4 linked regions of the Rattus norvegicus genome follow. The protein of the gene in region 1 purifies or fractionates together with the protein of each later gene. This does not show direct contact. Links are inferred from orthologs where the notes say so. Each region holds a gene or a part of one and is shown on either strand. Other genes may lie near its edges.

Evidence for each region. Proteins that work in one complex are often made in the same cells at the same time.
Region 2: the proteins of Cdca4 (region 1) and Ppp2r2a purify together in Homo sapiens (affinity purification with mass spectrometry; 4 studies listed by BioGRID and IntAct, with this or other methods). This does not show direct contact. The link is inferred for Rattus norvegicus from reciprocal best matches to the Homo sapiens genes CDCA4 and PPP2R2A.
Region 3: the proteins of Cdca4 (region 1) and Ppp2r1a purify together in Homo sapiens (affinity purification with mass spectrometry; 4 studies listed by BioGRID and IntAct, counting the BioPlex papers as one, with this or other methods). This does not show direct contact. The link is inferred for Rattus norvegicus from reciprocal best matches to the Homo sapiens genes CDCA4 and PPP2R1A.
Region 4: the proteins of Cdca4 (region 1) and Ppp2r2d purify together in Homo sapiens (affinity purification with mass spectrometry; 3 studies listed by BioGRID and IntAct, counting the BioPlex papers as one, with this or other methods). This does not show direct contact. The link is inferred for Rattus norvegicus from reciprocal best matches to the Homo sapiens genes CDCA4 and PPP2R2D.

Annotation. Positions count from the first base shown.
Region 1 is NC_086024.1:137,719,853-137,724,081, reverse strand, and holds the start of Cdca4 (cell division cycle-associated protein 4), read left to right. Parts: upstream 1-1,429; 5' UTR 1,430-1,710; exon of another isoform or gene 1,711-2,183; intron 2,184-2,996; exon of another isoform or gene 2,997-3,243; coding exon of another isoform or gene 3,244-3,255; intron 3,256-4,229. UniProt on the Homo sapiens protein: May participate in the regulation of cell proliferation through the E2F/RB pathway. May be involved in molecular regulation of hematopoietic stem cells and progenitor cell lineage commitment and differentiation.
Region 2 is NC_086033.1:45,383,906-45,387,405, reverse strand, and holds part of Ppp2r2a (serine/threonine-protein phosphatase 2A 55 kDa regulatory subunit B alpha isoform), read left to right. Parts: coding exon 1-84; intron 85-878; coding exon 879-1,048; intron 1,049-3,500. UniProt on the Homo sapiens protein: Substrate-recognition subunit of protein phosphatase 2A (PP2A) that plays a key role in cell cycle by controlling mitosis entry and exit. Involved in chromosome clustering during late mitosis by mediating dephosphorylation of MKI67.
Region 3 is NC_086019.1:69,219,698-69,223,197, forward strand, and holds part of Ppp2r1a (serine/threonine-protein phosphatase 2A 65 kDa regulatory subunit A alpha isoform), read left to right. Parts: intron 1-793; coding exon 794-894; intron 895-1,880; coding exon 1,881-2,113; intron 2,114-2,814; coding exon 2,815-2,962; intron 2,963-3,068; coding exon 3,069-3,224; intron 3,225-3,500. UniProt on the Homo sapiens protein: The PR65 subunit of protein phosphatase 2A serves as a scaffolding molecule to coordinate the assembly of the catalytic subunit and a variable regulatory B subunit.
Region 4 is NC_086019.1:203,126,582-203,130,068, forward strand, and holds the end of Ppp2r2d (serine/threonine-protein phosphatase 2A 55 kDa regulatory subunit B delta isoform), read left to right. Parts: intron 1-2,465; coding exon 2,466-2,745; 3' UTR 2,746-2,987; downstream 2,988-3,487. UniProt on the Homo sapiens protein: Substrate-recognition subunit of protein phosphatase 2A (PP2A) that plays a key role in cell cycle by controlling mitosis entry and exit. Involved in chromosome clustering during late mitosis by mediating dephosphorylation of MKI67.

The DNA.
Region 1 (4,229 bases):
GGTAGGAAAAAGTGATTCCTGCAAGTAATCATCTGACCCCGCATAACGAAGCAAAGGTGATTCCAAACGGAGCAGGGGCCTGACAGATGCCTCAGTGCAATGAGCACAGTAAGAAATGCATTTTAGACATGTAAAAAATAGCTTAGTCACGCTTACCTAGGAAGCGCAAGGCCCTGGGTTCGGTCCCCAGCTCCGAAAAAAAGAACCAAAAAAAAAAAAAAATAGCTTAGTCAGAAACCCCACTACACCCAAGGCTGCACCTGCTAACCAGAGCCCAGTGATGTCACTCACTCAAGATAATCAGACACTCATAAACCCCATGACACCCACTGGACAGTACGTAAACAGAGACTAAGCAATGCTCTGGTCTGCCCTGCAGCTGGAGAGTCTCCCCCAGGATCCTGGCCCTTCCAGGATTGAGACTTTGTTAGAGGCTGGACCCGACCTTCAGCTAGGATACCTAGGACAAGGGAGCAGCGTTGGGGAGACAGGCTTAGGACCACAGTTAGGAATTTAGAGTGCGAACCTTGTGATGACCCTCAGCACAATAAAATATAACTTTTGTTACACTACTTGCTATACAAACCACACATTATCTACCTTCTTGCTCGAGACACTTGGGAGTTAAGAATCCTTGATGTTCTGACAGAGGACCTGGTACCCTTCTCAGCACCCACAGTGAAGCCCACAATCACTTAATTCATACGTGCAGGTGAAACACTGTCGTTTAAGTAAATCCAAAAATAATAGTAATTCAAAAGGAAAACCATGCTCAATGCTATTATCCAGGTCTAAGTTCAGAGGGCATTCCTTTCCATCAAATAAGGGAAAAATACGCCCAGGAATGGGAATGGGTTAGTGAGCTTAGGCGAGGAACCACAAAGGCACGATGCGAATAGTTGTTTAATTTCTCTTACGGCACCGGTTTTTCTCTCCAACACTCGTTCACTAGAAGTTCAGGTGGACAGGAGTTTCCAGTCTTTCCCAGCTAACGAGCTTGCTCCATGTGTTAATGCGGCATCCCCACTGGACATTCTGCATTCACTTCCCCCTCCCCTCATCAAGGGCGTCGGGACTTGGTGTCTTCGTTAAGATCTAGTGCACTACCAGGACATTATATAATTTTTCTGAGTTGTAACTCGAACCAGGACCTGTTCAGGGATTCCACCACCAAGCCTTGTTTAACACTTCTATGTTTCAAAGAAGGTGGAGACAACAGCCGTGCCCAGGCCTGGCACTAACTGCCACCAAAAGAACTAAGCTTGCCAAAACCTGGGAGCCAGAAGGGAACAGAAAACTAAGGAGACCCGGAGCTGTTGCGAGGGGGCGTGAGCAAGCGCCCTGAGGGCGTGGCCAGGCGCAGGGAGAACTGGGAACTGGGGCGGTGGCCAGGCGCGGGGAACCCTGGGAGCCGGGCGCGCGGAACCCTGGGAACTGGGGGTCGAGCTGTGGACGGACAAGGGATCGGGGGCGGGGCGAGGCGCGGGGAGACATGGGAACGGGGGGAGGAGCGGCCCAGCGCGCGAGCCTAACGGCTGAAGTCGAAGCGCGGGAGACTCCGCCGGTGAGGCTCCGCCTTGCGTGGGTTTGAACGAAGCTCCGCCCCGCACGCCACCAATCGGCGCTCGCGCGGCGGCGCCATGGCGACCCTTTGTGGGCACTGACTGATCCCGGGGCCAGACGGAGTGGCGGGTCTGCCTTGCGGCGCCGGTGAGTGTGTCGATGATTTGCTCCTTCGAGCCTCTGAGGCCTGGGCGGCGTCCATGCAGGCACCTCCAGGGCGGTCGGGTGGCGGCAGGGTCCTCGGCCCTCCTGGGCCGGCCGACCTTCGGCGCTCAGGACGACGCGGCGTGTTGAGTGACACATACCGAGAGCCGGAGCGGCGGGTCTGAGCTGGCCGTCCCGCCCTCCGCCCACGCTCCCCTGCTTCCGCTCTCTCTTCCTCCTGTGGCCTTTCCTCTCTCCTTTCTCCTCTGTCCCCCCTTCTTTGGTTCACCCCGCGTCGGTCCTCCGTCTCACCTTTCGGGCTGGCCGCCGGTGCTGTGCGTGTCCCTTAAGAGCTGCGCGTGGCCAGCAGTTTTGGGGGGACTGGACTTTGTCTGGCTTCTAGCCCCGAGCGTCTGTCTGCTAGCCAGAGACCGATTCCGAGAGGGCTGGGTGGACTCCGTGCAGTCGCCTGCCTGGTGAGTGTTGGCCTTGCTTTCTTTCCCTTTGTTTCTTGGATTTTAATTCCCCTGAGAAGTGTCTTGTGTTGCTTGTTCTTCCCCTACTGCAATAGACTCCACGTCCTTTTAAAATGATCATTTGTGGCCCAATAGATACTACCTGGAACGGCATCGGTGGAACTCGACTGGAACCAGGCTCTGTCTTCGGTAGCTTGTCCTGAGGCCAAATGGAACTAGGAAAAAAAGCTCCAGGAACCTTTTCTAAAGTTTTTCTCCCCTAGATAGGGTCACCAGGGAAGGGGCTTCTTCCAGAACTTGAAACGAATGTACAGCACCCGTATATTTTCTCCTGGTGGCCTTTGTATCTGACCTACCAGAAGACAGAGCTGAGCTTGCCGTTGATTTAAATGATTCTGGGAAACATTTTCTGCACGCAGAAAGTTTGATGTTTCATCAGCCTCCTGCATTGCAGCCTTGTTTGGTTTTATGGATGAAATTAAAAATGCATTCAGAAATCTCCCCCATTTTAGAGGTGCTAGTCTTAAAAGGAAGGAGATCAGGAAGGTTCCCTCAGATTGTCACTGGAACCTACCTTCAGGCATAAGAAAGTTCCACATCCTTCCAAGGGTAACTCTGCTAAAGGTTTTTTAGTAACCATTGATACAAAGTGTGAAGCGGACACAGTGGGACAAAAAACTCCCATCAAATGACCGTTAAGTTCATTGACCCAGCATTTTCCAACTTGTTCCTCTTCCAGTTGCACTTTGAGGAGGTACTTTAATGCAGTTGTGATTTGTTTATTTGTTTGTTTGTTTGTTTGTTTTGAGACAGGATTTCCTGCAGGCCAGGGTGGCCTCAGACTGACAGTGCAACCAGAAACAACCTTGCTCCCCTTCTCTCTGCTTCCCAAGTGTGCCACCATACCCAGCCCAGAAACCACTAACTTCTGGTTCTCCTTAAAACCCAGCATCAGATGAATGCTGGATTGTGGTTACAGTCCCAGCCCGAGTTGTGCTAGGTCTGCTCAGATAAAGCCAAGACTAATGGCTGGTCAGAGCCCAGGAAGCTGCATTTCCACATGGTCACTGAGGTAGGCCTGCTCCAAGATAGGATGGTTGTGGAGTCCTAGGCGGTCTCTTTACCTCAGATTGCTGTATGGGTAGTTAACATTCTCTTCCTCCTCACTGTCCACTGGCCTCTGCTGGCCTCAACACTGTGTCTGAGCTCCCAAGAGTTCCTGGCTCTTGTCACTCAGCCAGTGCTTGTGGGGGAGAAAGTCAGAGGACAGGATTGTGGGTTGACTTAGCTTTGGGTTGAAGGGATGTTACACATTTACCTAGACTTGAAAAGACCTTTTGGCCATCTGGAAGTGAGGTGTAAGATATGGAACATAATTTATACAGAATTTAGCAGGGAGAATTTCCTGTTATCTTTCATTAGAAGGATTAAGCAACATCAGGTCAGGCACACAAGGCCACAGGAAGCTGTGCCCAGGCGGGTACAGGAGAGCCCCTGTGCAGGCACCAGTTAGGGCTAGTCAGAACCTGTGCTGGTGATGCAGACCTTCACCCTCAGGCTCCCTCCTTCCTCTTGCTCTCTTGCTAGAAGCTACTCTGTCACCATCCTGTTCTCTATGACTGTGTTCTAGAGTGACAGATAAGCAAACAACAGTGTTTCATTCTGGGCTTAGTTATTTTACTTTTTTATTGGTGTGTGTGTACCTTCTGAGGCCGCAAGAGGACACTGGATCCAAGGAACTGGAGGTATAGGGAGTCATTAGCCATTGTGTGAGTTCTGGGTACCCAGCCTTTATCATGTGTCATTTCTCCAGCCACCTTCCTTGTTTAAAAATCTTTAAATGTGAGGATGATAATCAAGACAGAAGGACAGTATCTGCTCCTAGCAAGACAGGGAGTGTGTTGGTTAAACCCCTGCTGTGTAAGACTTGTCTAGACCCTAAGGGAAAGGGATAGAGAGCAGAGTTTAATTTGCAAAGTTAGTAAGTCAGGAGAAGCAGTTTGATGGCAAATATACACGGGGAGGTGAGTGCTTCTTAGAGAACAG
Region 2 (3,500 bases), on another chromosome or scaffold:
ACACGTTTGTGTACAGCAGCAGTAAAGGGACCATTCGCTTATGTGACATGAGGGCATCTGCACTCTGTGACAGGCATTCTAAACGTAAGTCTGTTTCTGCCCTTTCTTTAAAATGGTCATCTACTCAGACTTGACCTGGGCTTGTGTGTCTGTGGTATTCCACAGGGAGCCCACAGGGTAGGAGGGTCTGTCGGGTATAGGTATAACCAAACTCTGTAGTATGATATCAGTTAGAGCTTCCTTCCTTTCCTCCCTTCCCATTTCGTCTCCAAGAATGGTCTTTCTCATCTTTATAAAATGTTGAGGAAACATGAGCTTTTAAATGAATGAGGCTGGGGACCTGATTCAGCAATGAAGAAGACTGGGGCGGCTCAGAGCTGTTTGTATGTGGCACCAGTTCCAAAGGAACAACACCTTGTTCTGCACACACTCTTCATACACATCAATACATACCATACACATAGTAAAATAAAAGTAAATAAACTATTTTAAAATCCAAACAAGGGGGTTGTAAAATTATTTTCTTGGCTTTGGTTGCATTGAAAAATCCAAATATGTTCCAGTTGACAAAATCCTAGATAGGTGGGGTTGGTGGTGGTTTCCAGAGTGATGCTATAGAGGCAGTGGCGTCGGGTGTGCACTGAGGTAAAGAACCTTGGGAGTCCTCTGCAGAACCAGAATCCTACCTTATTAGCAGGATTCTGCACTTTGTATTGATACTTTTCTCTCAAAAGACTTTGTGAGGAAACATGTTCCTAAAGCTGGCAAAATGTTTTAATTTTTCTGGATTAGCCTGTGATTTTTATCTCACTTGAGTGGCTACTTTGGAAAATGATTTATCCAAGCCCAAATATGAAACATTTTCCCTTCTTTTTCAGTGTTTGAAGAACCCGAAGATCCCAGCAACAGGTCGTTTTTTTCTGAAATCATCTCCTCAATTTCTGATGTAAAATTCAGCCACAGTGGTCGCTATATGATGACTAGAGACTATTTGTCAGTCAAAGTTTGGGACTTGAATATGGAAAACAGGCCCGTGGAGACATACCAGGTATTTGCAGGCTGTTTCTTTTGAAGAGTGTGTACCTGTGGGAGGTGTGTTGGGGTGCTCCTTACATGGGTTTGGAGTGCTACACTGTTGACTAGCTTTTCTCAGAATCTGAGTCATGAAATATGCTACCATCGCCGGTGTAAAGTATATTGTCTGTTCAGGGTTACACTTAATTTTGTTACTCATGTGGTTCATTACTGGCAAATTGGTGTGCTCCTTTGTTTGTGAGAGTGAGAAGTGGAGGTAGGCACAGGGTTGGGGAGAACACTCTTAGCAGAGGGCACACCCCAAACAGTGTGGGTAATAGTGAGTCAGAGCTTAAATCTGAGCAGCCAAGTCATGGCTCCTTTTTGGCTAACTGTCTCAAGTTTTAAAGGATCTGAAATCTCAGCCTACGGCTTTAGGAAAGTTTCTCCAGTGCAAAATGTACATGCAGGTTTCTCCCTCTGTCAGCTAGCTTCTATCCTTGACCAGTATCTGTGACATCACAGGCAGGAGAAACTGAGTTGCACAGTGCAGCACAAGTCAGTCCAGCAGGGCCTATGGAGCAAGGTATAGAAAACAGTCAGACTGCTCTGGATTCAGGACATGCACGGTGTACATACAGAACAATTAGGAGACACTCCTCCAGTCTTAATTTTTCAAACCTCTAAATATGTTGCATTGACACAAAGAGAGAAAATCGTGCTTTGTTTTCAAAGTGTTGGCAGTGGCAAGGAGAGCTACATTTTGTAGCTGTCTTTCTTAAGTTGGCAGTGAGACTAGCTTCACAGTCCTGTCTGCATTATATGGTCATCTTGCTGACTCTGTGGGACTAAAGGCTATTTTTGGTGTTTCTTTGTTTTTCTTCCCATTAATATGTCAGTTGCAGTTCCACTAGCTAGGTGATGGTGGTGCCTTCCTCTAATCCCAGCACTTGGGAGGCAGAGGCAGGTGAATCTCTGAGTTCCAAGCCAGTTAGGGCTACACAGAGAAACCCTGTCTCGAAAAAAAAAAACAATATATATATATATATATATATATATATATATATATATTTTTTTTAAGTATAGAATAGAGTTTATTCAGGATATGGGGAGGGGAGTTAAAAGGGCAGTAGGGACAGAGAAAGGCAGAGAGAGTAGCTGAGTAGAGGCTGGCCATGAGCACGTGGAGAGGTGGGGGTAGGGAGAAGAGGACAAAGCAAGAGCAAGAAGGCAAGAGGGGGAAAGAAGTTTTTTTAATGTTATATAAACATGGCTAGAATCACTCACTGCTTGTAACAAGTACAGTGGACATTTATACTGAGCTTAGGTCTGAGTGTGCAATGCACACTTGTAATACCAGAACTCAGGAACACGAAGCAGGAGGTTAGAGCCCCCTAAGTTTGAGACCAACCTGAGCAGCATAAATTAAACATGTCACCTACTGGTGGCTGTCATTTCTTCTTCCTAAAGGTCTCATTCAGTGAAACAGGAACGGTTGATAATTAATAATCTCAGCAAACACTGGGAAGTACCATCAGTGTAGAGATGTGCCATGCTTGACTGCCTTTTATGTCGAAGGTTTACTTACTTTTATGTTTATCTGATTGACTTTCCAAAATTACTCTTTGTGAAATACTAGTAAATGTAGAATAATAATTTCAAGAGATATGTCTTCATTACCTTTTTATGCTGAATAAATAATATTAAGTGATATTCATGTTTTATTGTATTTATTTGTGTGTATGTACATGAGTACACTATGTGCATACATATGAGAGTCAGAATAACCTACAGGATTTTGCTCTCTCTACTATGTATCTTGGGACTTGGGTCATCATGGCAAGCATTACTGGTCATCTGTCTCACTGCCCACCACTGAATTTCTGTTGAGTGATGTGGGTACATGAAAGCCAAGAGAAACCAGTTCATCACTGAACCATCACTGAAGCCTTGCTGCACTGTATATTTATTTTGGAACTAATTGGCCAAAATTAAATTTGTGCTCAGAAAATGGTACTTAAAGGCAAGGAAGCAGCATTCCTACTAGTAGTCGTGGGCGGAGTGCTAAGACGTGGAAATGGAATTCTGCTGCAATGTTTGTTAGTCTCTTATTCATCCTTTTCAATTACTTTCTGACTTAGGTGTGGTCTCCCTTAGTGTTCTATTGATGTCAAGAGACACCTGTGACCAAGACACCTGGGTGGGGTGGGGGCCAGAGGCAGGCAGATCTCTGTGAGTCCGGCCTGGCGCTGGAGCAGTGGCATTTACAAGCAGGAGCTGGGAGAGGCTGGGCCTGACTTGGGCTTTTAAGACCTCAAAGCCCGCCCCTAGTCTCATACCTCTTATCAGGGTACAGTGCACCCAGAAAGGTGGTTTTTTTTTCTTAGTTGTATCACAGGAAAGTGGGCCTGCCTAAGAGTTTGTCAAGATTAAGAGAAATAGTACTATTAAAGGGATGTGTGATTCTGTATACTCACTCTTTAAGT
Region 3 (3,500 bases), on another chromosome or scaffold:
CAGCCCCTCAGCTAGTTTCTTGAGGGAAAGTCAACAAACTTAGTTTTCTAGAGACAAAAGCCCCAGACTGGACATGTTCAACAGCTGTGTTGTTGCTGTTCTTGAATCTGGAAGTGTGAAGTCGGGGTATCAATAGCCTTGGTCCTGGTTTCTTCTGAGGCTGCTCTTTTTGGCGCTATTATGGCAAGTCCAAGGTAGAGAATGCTAGAATGCTTTACATTCCACTGGAGGTCAGTGTTTCCTTCAGCAAAGGCAGGGAGGGGGTTGGGGGAAACACACACACACACACACACACACACACACACACACACACACCTACCTTTGAGTTTGGGCAGTATGCTTTGTTTCCCTGACATTTCATTCATTCACATTCCATTCTGGCTCTGGCAGGAGCTGGAGCACACCAAATCTAGTCTTGGGCACAGGTGATCAAAGGTAGAAAAGAATTTCCTGGTTGAAGACATAACTCCTGAAAGTGAGTTCCTGCATATTTAAAGTTTTACTGAACATCCTGTGTTGCATTTATCTATGTGGTCTTTGTCCCTGTTGAGAGGAACCCAAAATTGAGGTTACAGCAGTTGTGCTACTCAGTTACCATCCCACACCTAGCATGGGCCAGAAAAGGCAGATATGGTGTTTGGACTTATTCTGCTCACCAGGTAGATGATGATTAGGAATGGCAGGTTGGGAGATAGGGGTGCTGACAGTGAGGAAGCTGAGTGGTTTTGCTTATTGGAAGCTTGGGTTACTGGTTCGGCTTGAGTTTTTAATGGGCTTGGTCTTTGACCCACAGATACCATCTATGATGAAGATGAGGTCCTCTTGGCTTTGGCTGAACAGCTGGGAACCTTCACCACTTTGGTGGGAGGACCCGAGTATGTGCACTGTCTGCTGGTGAGTGAAAGCTGCGAAGTTTCTTAATCCTCTTTTCTGCCTTGGGGTTAGAATGGTGGTCCAAGAAGCAGAGGATTTAGGAAGGCTGGATGTGACCTCAGAATGGATTACCTTTGGATGTAACTTTCACTCAAGTCAGTAGTGTCATTTAATCTATAGTCGCCATCCATTCTGCAAACTTAACCACACTAGGACCCTGTGGCATTCCACCCATAGGATTTTGAGTTTGGGTCGGGCCAGGTTCTATTATTTACTGGTATGACTTTAAGAGTACTATAGTAAGTATTCACAATTAGATTTTGTGGTTGTCATGGTTGTGTAAGATATGTTATCTACCAGTTTGGGTTGCAAGGTTCACTTGATGGCTGAACCACCTAGAGTACCAGTAGGTTAAGCCATCTCTCATCAGGGACTCTTAGCTAGTAATCATGCATTGTCAAGATTGTTTGCTTGATTGCACCAGGCTATACCATACCTTGCCGTACTGCACCGTACCATACCATACTATACCAAACCATCTGTGTATCTCTGTTGAGTGACAGCTAGAAACACCAACAGAATCCGATCCTGACAGGACCTGCTAGGTACGGAAGGATAACCAAGTGATCTTTTAGATCTTGGCTGTTAGCAGCTTAGGCAAATTGCATAACCTATATACTTCCAATTCCTGCTCTTTGATTAATGAGGATAGTATCAAAACTGTTTTACAAGACTCACATAGAAGGAGTTTTGATCAAAAAAAGGTGAGCAATACAGTATCTGAAACCTAGGTCATGGGTATTAGAGCCGCATCATTAGTGTTTATTGTATATTGAGAGCCACACACACACATGGGCCTCTTAAGAGATCCTTGTAGGAAGCTTGTTATCACAAGCATGGGGCTGGGGAGATAAGAGGAGTCTCCCTCCAGTCAGGCCATGAGGTAGGGTTCCACAACTGAAACAGTAAGAAAAACACTGGTCTCTAACCTTCTGTTCTCATCACAGCCACCTCTTGAGTCACTGGCCACAGTGGAAGAGACAGTAGTGCGAGACAAGGCGGTAGAATCCTTGCGGGCCATCTCTCATGAGCACTCACCTTCCGATCTAGAGGCTCACTTTGTGCCTCTGGTGAAGCGGCTGGCGGGTGGAGACTGGTTCACCTCCCGTACCTCAGCCTGTGGTCTCTTCTCAGTTTGCTACCCCCGAGTATCCAGTGCCGTGAAGGCAGAACTTCGACAGTGAGTTCTCATTCCCATCACTTTACCTAAACCCTCCTCTAAGCCTAATGTCCTTGATGTCTCCCTACTCCCTCCCTGCTCCTAGCTCTCTTCAAAGAGGCTTGTCCTTCACAGTGATCATTGGACACCATACCTCAGCATCGAATTTTCCTTTTCTGCCTTCATGGAAATTTATTCCTACCATTAGTTATACCTGTGGGCTTGGAGCAGAATACAATACAACAAATAGTATCTAGTGTTATCTCCAGCCTGCCCCAGGTTTAGACCCCTCATTTGATAACTGCCTTGTTGTTCAGACCTAATAAGCCAAAGTTTCTGAGTTGTCACTTCATACAACTGGGTTAAAGCCACATATATATATATATATGCACGTGCTGTATGTCTCCATTAGTTCTTAGGAGGCAATTGCTCCTGAAATGGTAGACGAGTCATTTGCATTTTAAACAGTTGTTAGTACTGTGTTGTACTCTTTGACTGAGACCTCAAGTCAGCTTTGTGGGGACTTGCTACTGCCATTGGTCAATTTATAGAGCTGAGAAGACAAAGAGGTCATGAATTGTACAAAGTCACCATTGTCAGCACCAGAATTTACTGCAGACCCAGCAGTGCTCTGTGCTGTGCTGTTCTGTGCTGTGCTATACTGTGACACCAGCTGGTAGGGCTTTCCAGGATTCCAACTCTGGGCCTCCATCCAATTCCAGGTACTTCCGGAACCTGTGCTCAGATGATACCCCCATGGTGCGGCGGGCCGCTGCCTCCAAGCTGGGGGAGTTTGCCAAGGTACTGGAGCTGGACAATGTCAAGAGTGAGATCATTCCCATGTTCTCTAACCTGGCCTCTGACGAGCAGGTAAGCCAGTCACCAACTCTCACCATGCCCTTGCTAGCTGAGGAAGGAATGCACCCTTAAGGCTCAGTGGGCCTCTGCTTCCCTGCCCCTCCCTGTGTTTTCCCAGGACTCGGTGCGGCTGCTGGCAGTAGAGGCATGCGTGAATATCGCCCAGCTTCTGCCCCAGGAGGACCTGGAGGCCTTAGTGATGCCCACCTTGCGACAGGCTGCTGAGGACAAGTCTTGGCGTGTCCGCTACATGGTGGCAGACAAATTCACAGAGGTAAGTTGGCATAGTTCCACAGATGGGAACACTGAAGCTTTCTGAGGGGAGGAGGGAGCAACATATAGGAGATGACATGCTTTATTTTTTAGGACAGCAGTCCGTCCTGAGTCTTAATGGGCAACCGAATCATCTCCCAGAGCCAGTCCTTGTGGGTGATTTGAATCAAAGTGCTGTAATGAGAATGATTTTGAAGCCAAGTTTCAATTCCATGAAAGCATTTTTCCTGAACTCACAACTTCCCTAAGAAAGACACAGCCCCAGTAATAGTTGTCA
Region 4 (3,487 bases), on another chromosome or scaffold:
AATGTCCATAATATATCAATTACAAGTTTAAGAATGGCTACCATGTGTGTGCATACTTTTTAATCTTACCAATTACGAGACAAAGAGAGGTGGCTCTCTTGAGTTCAAGGTCACCCTGATGTGCAAGGTGAGTTCCAGGTTAATCAGAGCTACATACAGTAAAAACCTGCCTCGGAAAAGAAGATGATAATAATGAGAAAGACCACAAGGAGAATGAACAATGGGAAATACAGTGTCAAGGAGGAGTGAGGCTAGTCGTATTGCCTGGCCTCCTGTGGCATTCTGCTAACATCAGTATAGTGGGAAGATCTTGCACAATAAAGACAAGAAACCTGAAACATCAGCCAACCCGCTTATTGACTGTTGGGGAGCACACAGCTAAATTGTTTGTGTGTAAAAAAGGCACTGGGCATCAGTGAACAAGACCAGCTGGATCACGAAATTAGTAACAGGACTGAGGGTATAGCTTAGTGGTAAAGCATCTGCTGAAGCTGTAAAGGTCCTGAAATTGAAAGCCCAGCAACACAAAAAAGATCTGTTATATTCAAAATACAGCTGCATGGAAGTTACACCCATCTGTTTTGAGGCGATGTCTTTCTAAAAGGTACTTTGTAGATTGTAACCATCTCAGAGATGGCTTACAGCTAATGGTCTCTATTGTATCTGAAATACTGCAGCACATCCCCAAGAATATGGAAAGTTTTCCTGGTAACGTTTGCTCCATCCCTTCATTTCCTGCAGTCCTTTCCTCCATCTTCTTGCTCAGAAGCTTCTGTGTCTCAGTGGAGTGGAGTGGAGTGTCGCCGTCTTCTGTCAATGCCTGTGAAGCTCTGCATTTCAGTGTTCCACTTTAGTCAGCAAAGAGACAGTTACCTGCACCATGTTTTGTTCTGTTTCTGGGTGGGGCAAACCTGAACCAGGCTACCTGCTTCTCCTGCTGCACTCAGGTGCTGGGTAGGTGAGGAGATGCCCACTTCAGTGCAGGCACCTGCTGCTATACAGTGCACCAGCAGTTCATACCCATGCCGATGACACACTTCTTCCTGAGAAATACTTTTGGCCACTGTGCTCTTTGTTCTTGTTGCAATTGCTAATGGCCTCACCCCTACTTCCATAAGCATCAAATTCCACATGGAAATAAATCGAAGAGGATTGTAACAGTGGGTCCTCTCCTGCAAACACAGTTCTGCACACTTATTTCAGGTGCTCTCTCCAGAGTGTACCAGCCATGGCTCTCATCTCCAGCCTCCCTGGTGCTGCTTGTTTGAACAGATTTGAATGAACAAGAGTAGCTGTAACAGGGCTTTTCTGTAAGTTTATTTGGTATGGAGTTTGAGGTAAGGCTAACTGATGCTAAAATATTTACAGGCAGCTAGGAAGAATCCCGAGCAATGTAGTAACTTGAAGAACTTAGGCATTGTAAAGACCACTAGCCATGCAGCTCTAAGACAGCAAGACCATGGAGGTCAGGATAGGAACAGGAGAGTTTGAGGGTTTCCAAGGAGAAGGCAGAAGAGATTGGTTGGTCTTCACTTGGCGGAAAAGTCAAAGAGCCATGTGGAATATCCTTTGTTTTGTCTTTTTGAAACAGCATTATGTATTTTGTAACCCAACCTGACCTTTAACCTGCTATAGAAATAGGCATGGTGGCATACACCTGTGTCCTCTGTACTTATACACGTACAGGAAAATCAGGAGTAGGTGGTTATCCTCTGGCATATAACAAGTTTGAGGCTAGCCTATGCTATATGAAATCTTGTTTCTAAACCCAAAACAAAATGGAGAGGTGGGGAGGGTGGTTCCTCAGTGTATGGCAACTGCCTACAATCCCAATACTAGCATCAGCTTGCAAACCACATACACATTCTAAAATATAGAAAAAAAAGACCTCTTCCAAAATTATGGATCAAATTGTGACAGCCTCCTGCCTCAGCTGTCTTGATGTTGGGATTACAGATGTACACCTCCACTGTACCTAGCTTTGAAAGAAACTTAGAAATTTAGATCAGGCTGGCCTCAAACTCGGATCTGCCTCCCAGGTGCTAGACTAAAAGTGATTTGGCCGGAGTTAAATTTTCATCTTTCTTCCTCATCCCTCCTTTCTTCTCCGCCCCAGTCTGCCTGCTTCTCCTTCCTCTCCTCTCCTAATTCTTCTACACGTTAATTAGATGAGAGAGATAGAGGAGTTGTGTTCTCAGCCCCCATGTCAGACAGCTCACATTTGCAAGGCATCCAACACACGCTACTTCCTTGGTGGGAATGTATTTAAATTATGGCTCCATTACTTTTCTTACTTGGACATGAAAATAAGTGAAGTTCACTGCAGAACCTGTACTACATTTCTTTCCTGATAATGTAGAAATGTGGGCCTGTAGAGGGTCCATACTTCATGCCATTACCCTGGTTCATGCCATTGCCATGGTCCTGCTAGGTACTCAGTGTCCCCTCTTTTCTCTCCTGAACAGTGCCATTATGACGGGGTCCTACAACAACTTCTTTAGAATGTTTGATAGAAACACTCGGAGGGATGTTACACTGGAAGCCTCAAGAGAGAACAGCAAGCCCCGAGCCAGCCTGAAGCCCCGGAAAGTGTGTTCAGGGGGTAAGAGGAAGAAGGATGAGATTAGCGTGGACAGTTTGGACTTCAATAAGAAGATCCTTCACACAGCCTGGCACCCCATGGAGAGCATTATTGCTGTAGCTGCCACCAATAACTTGTATATATTCCAGGACAAAATTAATTAAGGAACTGACTGGAGGACCAAGTGTTGTCTTGCATACATACATAAGCCGGTCGTTTTCCTGTCCAAAAAAGGCATTGTCCTCTCCATTGAGAATAGTGACGCACTTCTACTTCCCTCATAGACACAGGAGAAGAAGGGGTCTCAGCTGGAGCCTTGGGAGAGATGAGTGCTGCTGCTGAAGGGAAAACCTACTTGAAGCTGAATTGGTGGACTCTGCTCAATAAAGGCCATTACTCAAATGTATTTATTTAAGTCTGAGCCTTCCTTTCCAGTTTTTAGACCAAAAAACTAACATCTGAGAGGAAAAAAAATCTCATCAAATCTCTCCAGCTCTTACCTCTGTCTCTGCCATCCATCCCTGGGCCTTATCCTGGACATGGTGTGGCCACCACCCACGTTCCTCTCTGGCCCTGGAGCCCCAGTGGGCTGCATCACCCACCGCTGGTGCGTGGTGCATGGCTGTGCCCGAGCAGGCTCAGGCAGCTCTCCTCACCCACTGCACCTGCCATCACACCTTCTGTGGAGCTACTTAATAAACACAGCACACTGTGAAGTGTTTTTAAATCCAAATGCCACTGCAGTCTTTATTTGTTTCAATTGCACATAATGAAAGTACTCAGGCTATTTATACTTTGGAATAAATTGAGAACTTTTTTCCTTTAGCAGAATGGTTGAGTTTATACAGAATTTCAGATTCTACATGTAACTATCCCAAATTGCCACTTGGTTTCTGTAGAAACTCC